3 linked regions of the Caenorhabditis elegans genome follow. The protein of the gene in region 1 purifies or fractionates together with the protein of each later gene. This does not show direct contact. Each region holds a gene or a part of one and is shown on either strand. Other genes may lie near its edges.

What was found.
Region 2: the proteins of eif-3.D (region 1) and egl-45 fractionate together in Caenorhabditis elegans (co-fractionation; one large-scale study listed by BioGRID). This does not show direct contact.
Region 3: the proteins of eif-3.D (region 1) and dpy-23 fractionate together in Caenorhabditis elegans (co-fractionation; one large-scale study listed by BioGRID). This does not show direct contact.

Annotation. Positions count from the first base shown.
Region 1 is NC_003281.10:8,968,292-8,973,456, reverse strand, and holds eif-3.D (Eukaryotic translation initiation factor 3 subunit D), read left to right. Parts: upstream 1-1,878; 5' UTR 1,879-1,880; coding exon 1,881-2,062; intron 2,063-2,108; coding exon 2,109-3,068; intron 3,069-3,115; coding exon 3,116-3,544; intron 3,545-3,586; coding exon 3,587-3,728; 3' UTR 3,729-3,822; downstream 3,823-5,165. Other genes in the region: R08D7.4 (Complex1_LYR_dom domain-containing protein), read right to left, coding at 6-140, 296-397, 469-769, 823-1,236; Putative RNA polymerase II subunit B1 CTD phosphatase rpap-2, read right to left, coding at 3,830-3,977, 4,029-4,178, 4,223-4,420, 4,471-4,847, 4,891-5,003, 5,051-5,165.
Region 2 is NC_003281.10:7,823,227-7,830,767, reverse strand, and holds egl-45 (Eukaryotic translation initiation factor 3 subunit A), read left to right. Parts: upstream 1-2,141; 5' UTR 2,142-2,179; coding exon 2,180-2,290; intron 2,291-2,342; coding exon 2,343-2,474; intron 2,475-2,569; coding exon 2,570-2,979; intron 2,980-3,034; coding exon 3,035-3,148; intron 3,149-3,244; coding exon 3,245-4,720; intron 4,721-5,019; coding exon 5,020-5,735; intron 5,736-5,800; coding exon 5,801-6,072; 3' UTR 6,073-6,391; downstream 6,392-7,541. Other genes in the region: E3 ubiquitin-protein ligase kcmf-1, read right to left, coding at 1-240, 310-446, 517-614, 673-824, 1,075-1,266, 1,311-1,341.
Region 3 is NC_003284.9:4,386,948-4,394,548, reverse strand, and holds dpy-23 (AP-2 complex subunit mu), read right to left. Parts: upstream 5,191-7,601; 5' UTR 5,174-5,190; coding exon 5,100-5,173; intron 4,858-5,099; coding exon 4,692-4,857; intron 4,643-4,691; coding exon 4,460-4,642; intron 3,718-4,459; coding exon 3,700-3,717; intron 3,511-3,699; coding exon 3,375-3,510; intron 3,325-3,374; coding exon 3,183-3,324; intron 3,134-3,182; coding exon 3,014-3,133; intron 2,967-3,013; coding exon 2,882-2,966; intron 2,831-2,881; coding exon 2,682-2,830; intron 1,686-2,681; coding exon 1,568-1,685; intron 1,518-1,567; coding exon 1,383-1,517; 3' UTR 746-1,382; downstream 1-745. UniProt on the Caenorhabditis elegans protein: Component of the adapter complexes which link clathrin to receptors in coated vesicles. Clathrin-associated protein complexes are believed to interact with the cytoplasmic tails of membrane proteins, leading to their selection and concentration.

The sequences.
Region 1 (5,165 bases):
CTAACTCAAATGATGCTCGAAACACTCAATACTCGACTCGTTACGACGAGTGCACGCAACGATAGCAGCTTTTGAGTGGCGGAGCAGAAGATTGAGCACATTGCAGAGAGAGGCGAGCAATGCAGTGTCGTAGACAACATCTGAAAAAGGAGACGTGAAAGAGAAGAGAGACACAGAGAAATGAGAAGACTTGGATAATGAGTGCCTGAAGCTGTTATTTGAAGGGTTTCGTTTCACACGAATATCATATAGAAAAACAAAGAATTTAACAAATAAAAGTATTAGCAAAACCTACCGGCCGCGATAATCAAATCCGTGGGTTCCTTCCATTCAGAGAAATCAAAATCACACCAATTGAGTGAGCGAACTGTTGCTTGATTGTTGTTGGCTGACGAATCTACAATTTAGATTCTAAATATTTTTAAATTTGAAATACGGAAGGAGTCGATTTTATTTCTCAAAAAATACCTTCAGTATCACTCTTCAGATCGTTTTTCGCAATATTCTCTTCTAAAAGATTCAGCACATTATCATCATAATCAGTGAGCGTCACACAACAATCATTCATTTTTGCAATTGCAATTCCACTAACACCACATCCTGACCCGAGTTCTAATATTCGATTGTACTCGGAGGGAATCAAGCGAAAAAGATTGGCGAGATCACAAGAAGCTTGCCAAACTGATAAGCCAGTTGTACCCATTGATAGTTGATTTACAGCTTCCGAGAATTTCGCTAGAACTTTGTCGCCTCCATCGGTTAGGTAAACCTGAAAATATGAAATTATTTCCATTTGAGCTGACGAATTGTTTAAAAACTTACTCTTTCCACATATTCTCCTTCTTTCATTCCCATTAGAGAACCAAGCCTGTCGAACATTGAATCAGGAACAACAACATTATTGGCTTGAAGTTCAGAAATCAAGTTTTTAAGAACATTTATTTGAAATTTGTAACGAATTTCATGCGATGTGACAATTTCATTATTGAAGACATTGTTGCAAAGATTCTCAGCATATTCCGAATCTTTTATGCATTGTTCTACAATATCCTTCATTAGCTGATCCGGAATTTTTGAAGCGCTACAATAAAATCTTTTGAACTGGAGTTCAGTTGTCTCCTTTTCTGAGTGGACCATCCCGCTCAGTTCTCCGTTTTCTTGACATTTTGTGAAAATTTTGCGTTTTCGTTCTGACTGAATAAGCGGTATCAGGAGGAAGGTATTCGGGTCTTGCATGTGGAATTCCGTAGTGTTCTGCTTGAACGATTCGCTGCTCCGCTTGATAGATTAGTTTGCCAATCACTATTGGGTCTTTTTCCTGAAAAATCCCATATAATTAGTTTCCACATCAATATTGAGAACGAGAATACCTGCTGGTGCTCTCGGAAAGCCTGACGAGCTTCAGTGATAATTTGTTGTCTCTCAACTACAGTATTTGTTTCTTCTTTTGCTTTCCAATTCTTGCCCAATTTTAAAATCTGTCGATAGAGCTGAATGACTCGAATACTTTGTGGCACTGTATTCATCAAGGTGGACCCGTTTCTGGAATTATATTCTGATTATGCGAGGAAATTTGGAGAAAACAAATAAAAACCAAAAATTGAGGTGGCGTCAAGTGGCGAATGTTGGCGCGTTTCGTGTACCTTGCGCATTTCTCGATTAAACATTTTTATTTTTACACGCGTTCTTGTCGGATTTTTCACATTTTTATACGATTTTCTGATTAATTTTTCTGTTTTGTGAATTATATAAATTCATGAAAGTCTTGTAACTATATTTTAAATGCTCTCGAATGTTATTGTTCCATTTCCATTTCTTTTGTCGTTGCTATCGTTTGGCCTAAAATTGCATTTCAACACTATTTTATATTTATTTCAGGTATGGCTCTACCAAAGTTTGAACTGTTGTCATTGGCTGATAATACAGTCGGATGGGGTCCATTGGCGTCGAGTTCCTCTGCTGATGAGCCTGTTCCATTCCAACAATTCAACAAGGCTGATCGCATCGGACGTGTTGCCGACTGGATTGGTGTTGATAGATTCTATAGAAGAGGAAATGAGAGGTTTTTATACAACAAATGAGTGGTATCGTTAAAACTTGAAATTTAGATACAATGAGCGTGTCTATGGATCCGCCGCCAACGCTGGAAGTCAGTTCGATTACATTCATGGAATGGATGAGCATAACTTCCAACTTGTTGACACTTCTAAACCAATGGCTCGCAATCCACAGCGCAACTTCCGTGTCCGCCAAATGCATCTTCGTAAGATGATGCAGAAAGAAAATGAGAAGCGTGAGATGGTGAACCAGTCAACGAATTTGAGAATGAAGAGAAGTATCGCCAAGGAGCAACAACGTGCCTTCAAGATGTGGCAACGTCGTGGAGGAAATGCTCGTCAAGGACAACGCGGACAAGGTGGTCGATTCGGAGGTGATCGGCCGAAGGAACGTCTTCCATCTGTTCAAGTTAGACCGGAATGGGTTGTTCTTGAAGAAATGAATCTTAGTGCGTTTTCCAAACTTGCTCTTCCTAACATCCCAGGAGGAGACGACATTGGGGATCACCAGTATGGAAGTCTTCAATACTATGACAAGACTATTGATCGCGTTTCTGTGAAAAATTCTATTCCGCTTCAAAGATGCGCTGGCGTGTTCTACAATGTCACCACAACGGAAGATCCTGTAATTCAAGAACTTGCTCAAGGTGGTGCTGGAAATGTTTTCGGAACAGACATAATTCTTGCTACTTTGATGACTGCTCCTCGTTCGGTCTACTCGTGGGACATTGTTGCCTACAGAGTCGGAGACAAACTTTTCTTCGATAAGAGAAACACTAGAGATATTTTGAATCCAGTTGAGACCCTTACTGTTTCCGAGACTAGTGCCGAACCACCATCATTCGACGGAAATGGTATCAACAATGCCAAGGATCTTGCGACCGAGGCATTCTACATTAACCAAAACTTCCGTCGTCAAGTCGTCAAGAGAAACGACGCAGGATTCACCTTCAAGAATGCTCGTGCTCCATTCGAAGACGAGGAGACTGGAGAGTCAGGAACTGCTTACAAGTAGGATTTTCGTTTAAAATTTTGATCTTTAATTAAACAATTTTTAGATACCGTAAGTGGAATCTTGGAAACGGAGTTGATGGAAAACCAGTTGAGTTGGTTTGCCGTACAGAATTGGATGGAGTTATTCACGGACTCGGAAATGAGACTCAGACTCTTACAATCAAGGCATTCAACGAATGGGATAGCACACAATCTGGAGGTGTCGACTGGAGAACAAAGCTTGATGTTCAAAAGGGAGCCGTAATGGCCACCGAAATCAAGAACAACTCAGCTAAGGTTGCAAAGTGGACTCTGCAAGCACTTCTTGCCGGTTCCGACACAATGAAGCTCGGATATGTGTCTCGTAACAATGCACGCAGCACACAAAATCATTCTATTCTACTCACCCAATACGTAAAGCCAACGGAGTTTGCTAGCAACATCGCCTTGAACATGGATAACTGCTGGGGAATTCTTAGATGCGTCATTGACAGGTAAGAACGAGCACATCCAGACTGGTAATCAATTTTTTCCAGTTGTATGAAGCAAAAACCAGGAAAGTACTTGTTGATGAAGGATCCACAATCTCCGGTTATCCGCCTTTATTCGCTTCCAGAAGGAACTTTCGAAAGCGAGCGCGAGAGCTCCGACGAGGAGAACTCGGATGACGATCAATAAAGTCCCCGGTTTCTGACAATTTCTTGTATTCGCTTTTCTAATTATTGTCTCTTGTTAATTAAACTTGGTTCTGATAAGATAAACTTTATTCAAAATATCATTCAACATTGGGATTTAATCGCAGCGTGCAAACCGGTAATTTGGAAAGAATCAAGCCCGCATAGTTCATTGGAAATCGCAGTAAGTTCTGGAGAAGCGTTGTCCTTCTTGAAGTAGTCGTCTCCAAGCTCAACATCGACGAGGCAAATCCTAAATTTCAACATTTTGAAATTTTTTAATTATGCATTTTTTAGAACTTACACAATGAAAAGAGCAATAACGATAGAATTAATTTCTCTCTTTGTCCAGCCAGTGATATTTTCCGAATCGAGTTGGAATGTCGAAGCTACTCGACTGAGAATATCACGACGAGTTGGAGTTAAATGTAAACGTGCTTCCAAATCCATCCAGCTGTAATTTCAAAATTAATATTTAAAATTGCTAGATAAACTCACTGATTCCTAATAGAATGCAGGAAAATATTCAATCTCTTCTCTTTCACATTGTACTTATCAAGATTCGGCAAATTGACCAATTTCTCCGCGTCCACCTTTTTACCGGACAAAAAATCCATCAAAATTTGCTCAGCAGCTCCACCGGTTGGTCTGGCACCTTCTCGAACCAATTTACGAGTTTCAGGTGTGAACCAGGATCTTAAATGAGATAATTATTTGTAAAATTTATATTTTGAGAGTTTTCTAACTTAATTAAATCAACGAGCCACGCTTCTTTTGCTTTTTCCATAGTTTTCAATTTTGAATGGATCTCTTGAGCCTCAATCAGAATTGGTGGCTTCTTTTGCAGAGCATTTTTATTTCCATACTTTGCACGCAGCTTTGCGAGAACTTCGTCTTCTTTTTTACGATCTTTTGCTGATAGTACAGGTTTCGGGGCTGTTTTCAAAAGTTTCGAAGTCGATGGAGGACCAAAATTCGAATTTCTAAATTCCTTGATAGATTTGATAAAATCTTTGTCATCATCAGTTAATTTAAATGGTTCGATATCTTGATCTTCTGGATCTAGAGATTTTGGTTCTTCGGCTTCTTCGCTTAGTTTCATGTCTTGAACTTTCGCAATGATCTGAAACACTTAAATATATTAGTGAGCATTTCTCTTCACTTACCGAATCGGTCACCAGCCAAATAGAAGGTTCTTTTTTGAATTGCGAATCCACGGGTTCACTTTTTTCAGCAATCGGGCTTACAAATGATTCATCAGGAACTTCGTATACTTTCTCTGAATAATGAATACGGTTAATAGTATTATTTGATACAATAACTTACGAGTTCTCGCCTCCGTTAAACCGGTAATCCAGAGCGGATGCTCATCTAATTGCTTTCTTACGAAAGAACTTTTCTGATAGCACATCTCCGAACAAAATTTAGCTCTTTGCTTGCG
Region 2 (7,541 bases), 1.1 Mb from region 1:
TATCATTATCATCTTCTGATTCATCTGCAGAATCTGCTGCTGGCTGAGGAGTCTCGTCTCCTGATTCGTCAGAAGTCGGAGGATAAATCGGAATAGTTGCCAATGGCCTTATGACTTGCTGAACATTCGGATCTTGATGTGTCACGGCACTTTCTACAACAACAGTCGGTCGGTCACCAGTACTTGTCATTAATCGTTGCGAACTTCGAATTCCAGGCAATAACGGTACGGTCATCATCTCTGTAAATCGCCTGATATCTTCGACAGAATCAGGACCCATGTTTCGTAGTAAAGCAGCCATTTCAGCACCTATTTCGTCCTGTAAAGGCCTTCCTTGTGCTGCTGTTCGTGACACTCCTGCTCGATTTCCTCTTCTTGCTAACATTGGACGTCGCTGAACTGGGCGAGTAGTTATTGGTTCAGTTGAACGAAATAGGTTTTCCATTCTGTAACAATTTGTGATTTTTCAAAAATATTTAGAAATATTGGGAAATGTGAGTTTTTTGTATGCCTTACGTATGAAGATGAATCTCTGTCCAATGTACGCTCAAATTTTCAGTTTCTTTCGATTGAATGTGCTCCATCTCTGTGTTTCCAATACAAAGCGGGCATATCTGGACGTTAACAAATTAATGTTATTTAAAGGATATTATGTTTAGCATTTTCTCTTACCACACTGTAGCCCGGAGCCTCCGGATGTTGTGAAAGTACATGTGTCCCAAATTGCCGTTCGGTCAATCCTGTTATATTACAATACGGACAAGTGAAGGAAACAATTTTCCGTTCGTCATAATGTCGCGTAGGGTCGCCTTGGTATACGAGGTCTGTAAAGAATACTAATATTTGATAACATAATTTTTTAGGGGACGAAAATTATATATTTTTAATTTTTCTGAAATCCTCACTCTCACCATGTTTTTATAATAGATGTTTTAATTATGTTAAAACTATGAAACTTGTCATTTTATTTATTACAAAAAAAACTCAAAATGTTAATTTTTTTCGATAAAATTAAATTAAAGCTTTGAATTTTTTATAAAACCAAATGTTATGTGTAAATATTTATAATCCTACCAAAGTCCACAGAGCTCAAAATTAACTGCATTGGATGGGACTCGTCGTGTATTGGGATATCAGCTATTGTTTGCTGGTCTCCGTAGTTCTTTGTGGTAAAACAACTGAAGCAGAGATCGTAATCACTGCATCGTAGGCATTTGTAACGGTTTCCAGCAAACGCGGTGAAAGCACACCCATCACACGATACACCTGAATGAAGGGAGATATTAGTAATTCTTTTCAGATTCAATTACCCTCGTGTGTGCCAGTAAGAGGAGTCACCATCAATCGACTATGAAAGCTGAAAACGATTCAATTGTTTAAATGTATTGTAAAACAGCAAAAAATAAACCAGCCAGGAAAAATCGATTATATTAAGTGGATTTTCTCAGTGTGATTGTGGAATAAAATATTATAATTTTAATTTTAGGTGGAACTGGGAAAACTCAATTGATTTTAAACATTGATTTGAAGAAAAACTTTAAAAAATTAGCAAGAAAGGGTAAACATTGTGGATATCTGATGAAAATAACACTCGCGCTTTAAAGGCGCGTAGAGTTTTCTCCGCGTGCAGGTCTCGCCGCGAAAGCCTTTTTTCGTTCATTTTCCAACCGATCGGTCGGATTCTCAGCCATCTTTTGCGAATTTTTAGTGTTTTCCGCAATTTTTTGATGTTTCTGTTGTGAAATTATGATAGAAAACAATTTTCTATTCATGATAGTGCAAATTTTTCTCAAAAATGATGAAATTTATCGATTTCTCGTAAGAAAACATGTTATTCTATTGAAAACGAGTCAAAAAGTCTAGATTATTGAAGTACTATGTGCAAAGTTGAACTATTTTCATAGCTTCTACAGTAAATACATATTAAAGAAGTTTTTAATTTAGTGTAATAGCTAAATTGCTGGCGAACTGTTAAAAAGTGATCAATTAAAATGTGAATGTACAAATTAACATCGATCCAATTGAAATTCGGAACCGTTTTTGTGATCTTTTTTTAAAAATACATTTCGAATTTGGAATTACGCTCTATAAAAAAAATATTGATTCTTAATGTAAACTTCTTTTCATTTCGCAATTTTCAGGCTTCGTGTCTCAATTCAGCGGTAATCCGAGCACAACTATGGCTCCGAATTATTTTCAAAAGCCCGAAGCGGCATTGAAACGCGCCGAAGAACTCATTCAAGTTGGAAAAGAGTCCGATGCCCTTGACACGCTTCATGATACTATCAAGGTAGGCTTTAGAATGCTCCTAATTTGAAACTTTGAATTTTCAATTGTTGTAGGCCAGACGACACAAGCAATGGACAACTGTTCACGAACAAATCATGATTAAGCACATGGAATTGTGTGTAGATCTGAAGAAACAACACTTGGCAAAAGATGCTTTGTTTCAATACAAGGCTCTAACTCAACAGGTTATCTTTTTTTTAACGATTGCTTTTGCGAGTAGAAAATTATTATTCTGACTGACAGTAATGCAAATTATTCATGCTAATTAATTAATTTTCAGATCAATGTGAAATCTCTCGAAACAGTTGTGGTGCATTTTTTGAAACTCGCAGAGCAGCGTACTGAAGATGCTCAAAAACAATCGATCGAAAAAGTCGAAGAAATTGGAGATCTTGATCAAGGAGATGTTCCTGAACGCCTTCTTCTTGCTGTTGTTTCTGGAGCAGCTGCTCAAGATCGAATGGATCGTACTGTTCTTGCACCATGGCTCCGTTTTCTCTGGGATTCTTACAGAAATTGTCTGGAATTGTTGAGAAACAACGCCCAAGTTGAACAACTCTACCACACCATATCTCGCCACTCTTTCACTTTCTGTCTCAGATATCAACGTAGAACAGAGTTCCGAAAGCTGTGCGATCTCCTCCGTATGCATCTGAATCAGATACAAAAACACCAATATGCTCCAAATGTGTAAGTGATGACACTATTCAGTAAACGCTAATTAAAATATTTTCTGTTCTTTCAGAAACTCTTTCCGTGTGAAACTCACTTCTCCAGAATCTCTAGGTCTTATGCAAGACACCAGATTGATTCAATTGGATACTGCGATTCAGATGGAGCTCTGGCAAGAAGCTTACAAGTATGTTTTTCTTGTTTTTTTTTAAAGTTCATGTGCGAGGGATTATTTTTCCAGTGAATTGATTGTTTAATCAAATTTTATATGTTATTTTTTCAGAAGCGCAGAAGACGTTCACGGAATGATGCAGCTTTCAAAAGACAAAGACAAGAGAACGGTAAAACCTGCAAGCTATGTCAATTATTATGACAAACTTGCATTGGTGTTCTGGAAAGCAGGAAACAGTTTGTTCCACGCCGCCGCCCTTCTTCAAAAGTTCATCATTTACAAAGATATGAAGAAGTCTTTCACACAGGATGAAGCACAAGAACAGGCTACTAGAGTGCTTCTCGCTACTCTTTCCATCCCAGAAGGATCAGATTCGCCATCTGATTTGTCTCGCAACCTTGATATTGAGGATCAACATGTAGCCAACATGAGACTTCTCTCAAATTTGCTTCGTCTTCCAATTGCTCCAACTAAAAACGGAATTCTCAAGGAAGCCGCACGGATTGGAGTACCAGAAGCTGCTGGACAAACCGCCAAGGATCTGTACAAGCTTCTTGAGAGTAATTTCTCACCATTAAAAGTAGCTAAGGATGTTCAATCTGTTCTTGATACTGTCACTCGCCCTGACCATCTGCAATATGTTGAGTCTCTTCAAGCAGTTGCTGCTGTGAAGGCTTTGAAGCAAGTATCTGTCATCTACGAAGCTATCAGCTGGGAACGAATTCGAAAGATTATTCCATTTTACTCTGACTTGGCATTGGAGCGTCTCGTCGTTGAAGCAAGCAAACATAGAATTGTGAAAGCTCAATTGGATCATCGTGCTGATTGTGTTCGCTTTGGATCATCCGATGCGACATTGGCCGGAGGAGTCGATGAATGCGATAACAACGAAGGATTCACTGGAGATGATACTCAATTGGGAGTGGAAGGTGTTCGTAATCATCTTGAAGCAATGTATACACGTCTTCGTGGTCTCGTTGAAGGACTCGATGCCGAAAAACGACGCAAAGAGATTCTCAAAAAGATTGAAGGACAGGTCACTAGTTATGAAAAGAACCGACCAACTGAAATCGAGCGTATCCACCGTCGCAAGAAGATGTTGGAGAACTACAAAGAGAACTGGGAGCGTGTTAAGGCTGAAAAGACTGCTGCGGCTGCAACTGAACAAGCTAAACGTGAGGAAGCAGCTCGTGCTGAGGAGATGAAGAGATTGGATGAGCAGAACAAGGAGAGCGAACGGAAAAGAAAGCAAGCAGAACAGGATGAGATTCAGAAGAAGATTAAGCAAGATCAGCTCTACAAAATGCAGCAGAACGCCATCTACCAAGAAATTATCAAAGAAAAGGGTCTCGAGCAATTCAGAGACATGGATCCCGAGCAAGTGCTGCGTGAGCAGAGAGAACGATTGGATAAGGAGCGTGCCGAAACTCAACGTCGGTTGCAACAACAAGAGAAGAACTTTGACCATCATGTTCGCGCTCTTCACTTGGAAGAGTTGAACGAGCGTCGTGCAGTGATGAATATGCGACTCTCTGAAGCTCCAAAACTTCACGATTTATACGAAGAGGCTAGAATAGCCAAGGAAATGTAAGTTTTTTTTTTCAATTAATGTTAATTTTTTGAAATTCTACTAAAATTTTAGAAAACCGAAAGCGTCTATTTAAATTTTCTCTTAAGTTTTGCTTTTCCTGCAAGTTTGAGTTTGAGAAGGATTTTCGTCGTTCTTAGCATTATGAAATGCACAAAAGTTTTGCGATAAACACGATTTAGATCATATATTAATAATTTTGTTGTTTCATTTGGAAAATTAGAATTTTTCTATTTTTAACATTAGTGATTTCTTTCTTTTTTTTGATCTCTCATTGTAATAAAAAATAATATTCCAGTGCTGCTCATGACTCACACGTCAAACTATGGGGAATGTGGGATCAAGTGCGAGACGCTACTTTTGATTGGGTCGAGTCGGTGAAAATCGACAACCAGGAAACTCTTGAGAAGAAGTTGTCTGATTGGCAAGCGAAGCTCGAGGCAGTTCGTAATAATCGTCTTGCCGAACGTGCTGAGGATCGTAAGAAGAAGCGAAAGGAAGATGCTATTCAGGCGAAGATTGCCGAAGAACGTAAGAAACGCGAAGAAGAGGAGCGTGCCCGTCTCCAAGTTATCGAAGGACAACGTCGTCAACACAATGATGGTCGTGGTCGTAGAGAAATGGAGAATTCGGTTGCTATGCAAGACAATGATTGGAGACGTAACCCACCACGTGAGAGTTTGCCTCCAAGAGAAACGAGACCAATGCGTGATGGACCAACACGTGAACCTCGAGAATTCCGTGGAGATCGTGATCGTGAACCTAGAGAGCCATTCCGTGAGGTGCCATCTTCTAAAGCTGATACTGACAACTCTTGGAGAAGTTCTGCTCAACCAACTCGTAAACCTGACGATCGCCGCAGCGACGAGTTCCGGCGCAACGATGATGTCCGTCGCAACGACGATGTTCGCCGCAATGATCCACCCCGTCCAGCATCGAAGGCTGATACTGGGGATAAGTGGGAACGAGGAGTGAAGCCAGTCGTTTCTCCACCAAAGACCGATGCCCCATCAGGTAAGATTAGTTTTTATTGTTCAAACATTTGTCGCTACAAACCTAAAAAAATAATCATTTTTCAGTTTCTGAACCGAAATCGGAAGGACCCAAGAGGTTCGTGCCACCCCATCTTCGAAACAGACAAGGAGGTGGTGGAGCAGGTGGTTCCGAGGAACAATCCGCTCCTGCTAGATCTGGAAATTCCAATGTGACAAGCCCACCAGACCGGGCTCAAGGACTCCGAGGCCCACCACCAACTGGCCGCAACTCGTTGCCTCGTCGTGACGGACCACCACCACGGTCTAACAACACTGGAAACACGGGAAATGCCGATAGTGGAAGTTGGAGAAAATAAACACATGCTCAATTTGTGCTGATTCCATATCCAATTTTCAGAAATTACTCGAATGTCCTTAAAATTAGTATCCTGGTTGATTTTTCTGTCTTTTTTCCTGTTTTGGTTATCCTTCCCCCACTTTCTCTCTAATTATAAAATCACACGCATCTATAATCAATTGTTTCGTTAACTTTCTTGGTGTTGTTATTTAAATTTCCCCGAATCCCCTGTTGACCCTCATTGAGAATTCCTATATTCTCTTCACATCCATCTTTCCGTAAACCCCAATTGTTTGAGTATTTATGAGTAATGATATGAATAAAGACATATGTAGCTGACGACTTGAACGACTTAAACGAGTGGGCGTGTCGTCGTTTGTCCGAGAGCAACTTAGAAAGTGCCCGAGGCGCATCGAAACGAGCCACATTGGGGCACCTGTATGAGGGTGCTTTAGACGACGTAATGAGACACTGAGAGCACGCTGATTGTAGAGACGGAGACGTCATGAGTGGACAGAGAGGAGACGGGGGGTAATACAATAAAATAGGATAGATGGTATGGGGCAAGCAAGCAGTGGCCCCATACACTTCTGAAGGCACCAGTTGTATTCATGATTCACCTCTCCTGGATGTGCTTCCTGCTTTTACCTTCTTTCTAAGTAAAACCGTACCAATGGTTTGAACATATATATATAACACAATTTTGATATATTATAAGTTTTTATTACCCGCACGCAAAATTTTGTGATTTTTTCCCAAAAATACAGTCCCCGGTCTCGACACGACAATTTTTGTTAAATACAAACATGTGTGCGCCTTTAAAGATTACTGTAGATTGAAAGTTTCGCTGCTGTGGAATATTCATTGATTTTTGATAGTTTCTTTTCACGCTTCGTTAAAATGTATGTGTTATTAATGTTAAGTTAAAAAGAAATATGAAAAATAAATGAAAATTCCACAGCAACTTAAGTTTGAAATTACAGTACCATTCTTAGCAATCTGTGAGATTTACGAATTTTAAAAAATGGTGTACAGTTCAAAGGGGATTTTTCTTCAAAGTACCCTAATTCCATGAAATTTAAATATAGCTATACCACAAAAAGTGAACAATTCACAAAAATTCACAAAAAAACCGAATATATTTTTATCTGTTTTAATTACCTCCAAACTGATAACTGCAAGACCAATCAGTGACTTCGAGCTTTGCCCACTCAATCTGATTGGTTCAAAAGTGGGCGGAGCGATTCGCTAATTGGTCTTCCAGTTCTTATTGTAGAAATAATTCGAACACGGAGTTTAGCAAGGTTTTTAGATCTCTCTCGAGTTTTTCGTTGTTCCTTTAAAATTTCAGCTTTTAAAATAATTTTCCAATTGACTATACTCCATTTTCAAAGAAATCCCCTACTACGTAAAATATAACTCATATTTTCATTTTTCCGGAAAAAAGAAATTTCTTGATTATAGGCTTGTCAGGTCGTGTTGGTCTCA
Region 3 (7,601 bases), on another chromosome or scaffold:
TTTAGATGTATATAGTTATCCAAGTAGATCACTGCTCCCCACTACCAAATTTTGGATGGCTCATCGAGAGATGACCCGAAGGTAACTGTAAAATCTTTAAAAGTGAGTTTTTTAAGATTTCTTTTTAAGAAACATAATACTTTCGAAAATCATGAAGAAACCAATTTGATATTTTTGTTCGGACTACTTTCGTACAGATCTCTATTTGGACCTAAGCCCGTACCTGATTACCATCATCTCTAAATATTTACTAATAATCTTATCACTTATTCAAATATGCAAAATCATATAAAACCATTTTAAAAAAACAAAAAACAATTGACGTAAAACGTGAATCAGTTTTTAAATTAGTTCTTGATAATTTTATTGTTAAAATCGACTGCTGTAGACTCTTGTCTCTCAACTCTTTGCTTCATTTGCTTAATATTATGCAAGTTTTCTAGTTTTTTCGAAAACGTGTCATATGGAAAGTTATCGAGTTGGAAAATTGTGATGCTCTCAAGGTTGCTAAAATAATTTTTAGATGATTAAAAAAAAAGTAAAATTGCCAAGTTATTGCATCAAAAACTTGAATTATTATGATGAATCAAATGTTGACACTGCACTTTTTCATTTGAATCAAATCAGAAACTTGAACCCATGTCGTGATTGAAAACTTAAAACCTGTTTTAAAATGTGTGTAGAAAAAAAACTAAAGTTTTATACCAAGTTTAGAACATGGATTCGGGGGACTCATATCTTGAACTATTAATAAAAAAAACTTTTATTTAAAATAAATATTATGCTATTCATTTGAATTACAAACTTATTGAATTGCGGACCTAGAAATGAGAAATGAACAATAGAAATTTGAAAATTTTTGAGAGAGAGACAAAAAATGGAATGTAGAAAGAACAATATATCAAATTAAGCCGTTACAATAAATTATGATGAATTATGAAGAAAAGGTAAATGAAAAAAATATTTTAAAAATGTTATTGCTCCAACGGGGTTCAGAAGACGTTTTGAAGTGAATTTTATGATGGAAAAAGATTCCAGAAATTTTGAAATTTTACACTGACAATAAATAAAGATGGAACGGGGTGGGGCGGGGGTTTTTGAATTTTGGCACGGAAAATGCATGGAATTATAAGCATGCGAAAATGCTTATCGAGACGTCTAAAGATCTAATAGTTCTTATAAATTGAAAACAACTCTTACAGTACTGTAATGCTGCGATGACTCTACATTATGAAATTTGGAAAATAATACAAAAATATTACAAAAAATTAAAAATTGTATGAAGCAAATAAATAATATTTAACACTTGGAACCGAGAATGAGCAAATGTTCAAGCTTGACGGCTGGGGAGCAAATGAAGATAGAAAGGGTTGGGTGAAGTTCTAGCATCTGGTTTCATACAGTCCCGATCTTCCAATGTAACGAACCCATTTGATGACGTCATGATCCGAATAGTTCAGTTTTGGCTCAAACACCTTCAAGTAGCGAACTTTGAGTCCAGATGGAGCAAACGGAACCTGGAAATTAGAATGGTTCAATTATTGAGGTGGAAAAAATGTAAGTTTACCTCAAAGTTCATGCTGACCGGTGGGCGATTCCATTTCTTCTTCTCAACGTTTCCAGTTGAGAGAAGATCGATTTCCGCAGAAATTTGGCTTTCCTTCATTCCGGCCATACGCTTTATTCTGAAAACAATGGTAACATTATAAGGCCTGTGAGAACTTTTTCATTCAAAATTAGAAAACAAAATGCTCCAAAAGCTTTAGTAAAAGCATTAGATTTCTGAAATGCTTCAGTCAAGGTTTGGAAAATTCACTAATTTCAGAAAGTCTTGAATTTTTAATTGAAAAAATACGTGCAGCACAGTTTTGCATATTTTGATGGTTTTTGATAAAAGGTAAGACAACCAAAATATAATCGCAGTCTTTAAACAATTTCAACTGCAAAAATATACATTTGCTTAGCAGTCAGATGAAAAATTTATTTTTGAACATTCGTGCCAATTTGCGACAGATTGTGAACAAAACATATATATGATATTACATCAATTTGTTTAAGGAAGCTGTTGGTCCCTTTTTGGTACACTTTTTGATTGTGAGCTCATATTTGAACTCTTGGTTAACTATTGTGTGAAAGAAATTCAGGGGATCAAGCCGCCCACAAATCTTGATCTCGTGAAAAGAAGTGCAGAAAAGACTTGAGAATCATTGTAACTCGAAAATTCAAACTTTGTCTCCTGTATACAATTCCACCAATTTTTGAAAATGGCGCTTGAAGTTAATAATTTCTGTTTCACTGTTACGGACGAGTTAAATGTTTTCCTTTAGTTACAGGTGCAAATTTGTTATTTCAAGCCCACAAAAAATTTCCAGAAAATTCCTTTTTAGTAAATATCCCAACCATATCCCTTTTCGGCAATAATATGTACAACTACATAGTATTAGTTAATGTTCTACTGCCAATTTCTCTGATTGCAGTTTCTTTCTTTTTTAGTTGTACAGCTCAAAGTGTGTAATGCTTCTGCCCAATTTTCTTAGCGCCCCCTCCCCTCCCACTTTTCTCGTTTTCTTATTCTTGCCCAAAATGGAGCCCCCCCCCCCCTTCTCCTTTTTCTCTCTGCCGCTTCGTTTTAATCCTATGCTCAGTCAGTGTATGAGCACCGGGCACACGCCCCCACTCACTTCCACACAATGGCATTCTCGCCTGCCTTGTACTTGGCTTTTCCCTTCATGCAAATAAGTTGAACGCCGGATGTATTTGGTGGGGTTGGAATGCGAACTTCGAGCTTTTGAGCAAGAAGGGATGGCTTGAAGTTAGACTTGACGACAACCTGAAAATGAGAGCCATGATTGGTAAATATTTGAAGTGACAAGTGAAATACCTTAACTTCCATCTTGTTACGAGACACTTCACGAACCAATGGGATCACACGGAATGGCAGTTGGATATCCTTAGTGGTACGGTATCTGCAAAAAGTAATAACACTACGAAAATTGTACAACAAAAAGTGTACCTCATCAGCTCGTACTCGCCGTCCGGTGGGATAAAAGAAATCGCGTGCTCCGTCTCAAATTTCGTCAGCTTCACGCATTGGTGGAATTGACAGTCATCAATGGCCACTGCGGCACGGCTTCTGCAAACAATAAAGTATCAGTTTCCCTATCCCGGAAACTCAGACTAACGCTTTGTTTGGATCATCACTTCCTGGCTTCGACTTTCCTTCGATGGTAATTTTGTCGTTGATGCCAAATTTGCACTCCGGCATTCCACTCAAATAGGATTTCATCGCAACTTTTCCGGCAACATGAGCAGATAATACTTGTCCTTAAAAATTATATTCGATATAAAAGTATGCACGTCGTTATTGTGTGTACCTTGTTGATTCATGAGCAAGTTGACATATTCAATAACATCCAGGAAGAGCTCATTTCGGCGGTACTTAATACCCTCCCGACGCCATCCAATTTGGCCAGTCACTTGAGACGTGATTTGTGACTGCTCCTCTTTGGTCTGCAAAACGTCTATTATTCTATGTATTCTCCTGAGACAAAATATGAATGGTTATCTAGATTTTTGCTACAATCTGAAAAGATAGCAAATCTTTTTGATTTTCTGACAATAAAATAAGAGACACAAGTAAAAAATGATTCCGTGCACACAAAACACAGTTGGTCACAATATATACATATGAAAACTTACCACTGGGACAGGAGCATCCTATAAAAAAAGGGTTCGTGAATAAAGAGCGGAAACCTAATACTTTAATTTTAGAAAAATTTTGAACCTGAAAGCGTGAGCCAGCGTGTACAGGTGGGCAGAATAACGCGTGACGCTTTTTTCATATTTGGTGCATTTTGTTTTTGGGCAACTTTTTATTTTGAAGGAGGAGTATCGGTTCTGAGTTTTTTTTAAATTTAAAATGTAAACAAATAACAAAATTTTGTAATGGGGCTTCTCGAACATTTTTCAAACATTCTTTGTCATTTCAAAATAGCGAAAAATTAATGGTCTGATTTTAGCTAATATATTTAACTTTCCCAAATTTTACGTGTCATAGCAGATGAAAAATGGTTTCTATTGAAAAATAGCTTTTAAATATCTTTTTTATTGTTTTTTTTATCTCACATTATTTCGTTGATCAAGGAACGTTTAAAACAAAAATTAGCAAAATAGAATTCCTATCTTGTAAATGAATGAACATGAGATAAACTACTAAAACATGCATGATGTGAAAATGAAACTATTTCCAGTCCGCGACACCGAAAACTTGACAAAATATCGGCTTTTAGCTAAATTTAAGCAAATTTTTCAAAATTTTGACCCGCCATAAAAAATTACAAGAAATGTTTTGAGAAGTCTCACTATGAAATTTGTTTATTTCAGCACATTTTAAGTCTGTAAAAGTGAAAACCCAACATTGATACTCCTCCTTGAACACTGAAAATTGTAAATTCCTTACAGCTGTTCTGACTCCTTGCTGGGTGATGAAAGTTTTCAGCACACCAGGGTCCGTATTCTGGGGGTATCCAAAGTCGAGAATCTCGTCGAGCAACTCATAAATCAACACAAAGTTGTTCTTCACATTCTCCTCGTTCAGTTTTCCAAAGTAAGACTGCATGGTGTCGGCGAAGCGTTTCAAGAACTGAAATTCGTAATTTAAGTGTGTCCCTAATACTTTTCCCCGTCGCTACCTCAAAAACCATGGCAGCGTTGACATTTTGACGTGTCACCGCACAAATCCAGACGTTGCCACGCTTCACATGGAAGAACGAAGTACGAGCCATGTTGGTGACTGGCGAGCGAACTTGCTGTCGGGCATGGATGACGTTGACTCGGAAGGCGTCGACTGCGTTCCGGCTGAAACTAGTGAAACGTGAAAATATGATTTCTTCTTGTTTGGGTCTTGTGTACACCATCGCATTTTTCTCATTTCTTTCAATAAACATTTTTACATAGAAAAGTTTGTGAACAAACAGTCTCGGCAAAAACAGCGCGGCAAACATTTTTTCATTTCTTTATTTCCCTGTTTCAGCGCACCACTTTTTCTTTTAAACATTTTTGAACATTTCCAAACATGCCATATATAAAAAATTACTTACGTTACATCGTCTCGATAGATTCTCGAAATGAGCACTTCTCCTTTGTGATTGTAAACGAACAATCCACCAATCATCCCCGAGTTTGCTGAAATGTATTTTAATGAGATAATCACTCTTTTCAACAGAAAAAATGTTAGAAAATGTGAAAAATGCAATGAAAACCAAAGAAAAAAACAAGACAAAAAACCAATCGGTTTCCTTTAGTTGACCAAGTTCAGCAAAATCGACGGACCAAAACTGGTCCGATAGAGCGCCCTTCAAAAGAGTCGCGCGGTGCGGTCGCGTCGCAGTCCTCCTCATCCTTCATTCGCCGGGGGTTGTTTCGTCATATGTTTGTGGATAGACGAAGAGAGTGCAGAGAGAGCAGAGAGTGAGAAGAGACGACATAGACGGGCAGACGGCGGGTACCTCTTGCCTCGTCTCTCTGACGCGACACCGCTTCCCGCTTGTATTTCTTTGGGTGTCTCTGTCTCGTTCTCTCTTTCTCTACTCCTCTCTCGCACATTATATCTCATGCTTTTTTGAAATTGTTTGATTGTTGCATAGCTTTTGAATTAATTTTTCTGATTTCCCTTCTTCCGAAATTTAAAATATCGATTTGTCACCGTTATAGCTATAACCTCGCAAAATTGAACGTGCTAAATTTATAATTATGAAATCAATAGAAACTTATCAAACTGCTTCCACTTAAAATGTTGTTGACCCACTTTTTTCGCATCTATTTTCAAAAATGTGAATAATGAAATTTCTTCAAAAATAATGAAATTTTTGATATGTTAGAGATAGATAAAAAGGCAAATATTGAAAAACACGCAATGACCCAAATAGCCGAAACAACAAAAAAGAAGATTTGATAAATCATCATTTGAAGATATCTTTGATCTTTTTTCAATCGTGGCCTAAGATATTCTCGACCCCCGTAGTCATGCCTATACAGGTTATTAGTCACACTCCTTTCGTCGTCGTTCACTACCTTTTCCGTTCTCCTCCATTTCCAGCCCTCTTGCCACACACACACACACACACTTCGCCTACATTTTTTGTTCATTTTCATTTTCACGTGAGATACTTCAAATACTTCTAGTTTGATTCTGTAGAGTACTGAGTGTAAGTCTGAAGACGTACATATAAGTTTGTAAGTGTATTACTTTTTTACTCGAAATTGGTTTATTTAATGAATAGCATTTTTTATGTAAATTTTTTGGTGTTTGTCACTGTTTTTTTTTTGTGGAAAAACTACGAAAAACACTGCTGCTGATTATAAAACTGAATCTTTCAAATAACTCAAGTTATAACATTTGAAAGTGAAGAAAATACGACATTCAATTTGTAAAATTTTATATAAAAAGTTACTGATATATACGTAGAAACAACGCAGAACAAAATCTATGAGATAAATAGAGCGAACGATTATCGTATTATATGTACAGCCCAAAAACCATAGATTCCTCCCTGAATGAGAAAAAAGCCGACTTGCGTCAATTTCGCATTTGACATGAAACAAACTGATATTAATATATATATATATGCATCCTTTGTCAAGTATAAACCCTCTTTCTCCGTCATTCTCTCAATTCGTCAGTCTTTTCGGTCTTTCTCTCTCTCTTTCTTTCTACCAGTGAGAACCGGCTTTTGCATAATCGAGTTGACAGCCCAAATGACTAAAATGGCTAAATGGGCGCCAGATTTTTAGTTAGTTAGTCGTTTCGACTGACTGTACTTGGAGGCCCCGGCCATTAATGGCCTTCCGCCTATTTCCCCAATTTTTTGGTTACTCATTCTCATGACTATCACGTTCGTTTGCCCCTGATTTGTGACTTGTTGATACATTTTCTGAATGATCACTGAATCTTTAACCTGGTTCTTCTTTCTGTGTAATTTCAGCATACAAAACGTCGCTGTAAAAGTTTTGAAACAAGTTTGTTAAATTAGAGGCTTGAAATTTCAAAGTGTGTCGTAACCAATACCATTTCTCATTTTTTTGTTGCTTGTAAATTTGTAATTCACAACAAAATAAATCAATAATTTGATTTTTTTGTTAGTATTTTTATGCTCTGGGTTTTTTTTTTGAAACTGAAGTACGGTCAGTGATAATATGTTCAGATCCTATAGTCAAACTTTAAAAAATTGAAATGTTTTTAATCACTCTTAAAATGCATTTCCTACTAAATTTTTACTGTAATTACCGTTTAGTTATTTGTATTTGAATATGTTCCAAATTTTCCAAATATCAATTTTTTTTAATTTTTGGAAATTGGCCACCACTTTTGCTGAAAAGTTTTCAAAATTGGAAATTTCGAGAGTGTTTCGATTATACTGTTAGACCTAGATTAATAAGTAATAATAAAAGTAATTTTTTTTTAATTCTCACGGAAAATACTTTTAAAAAATTATGCTCAAGTCTCCAAAAATGCTTTAAAATTAAAAAAAAACACTACGTTTTCCACTTTTGTCAATTTTCAAAACGTTGCGTAAATTAAAACGTCTGATATAGTTTTGAAT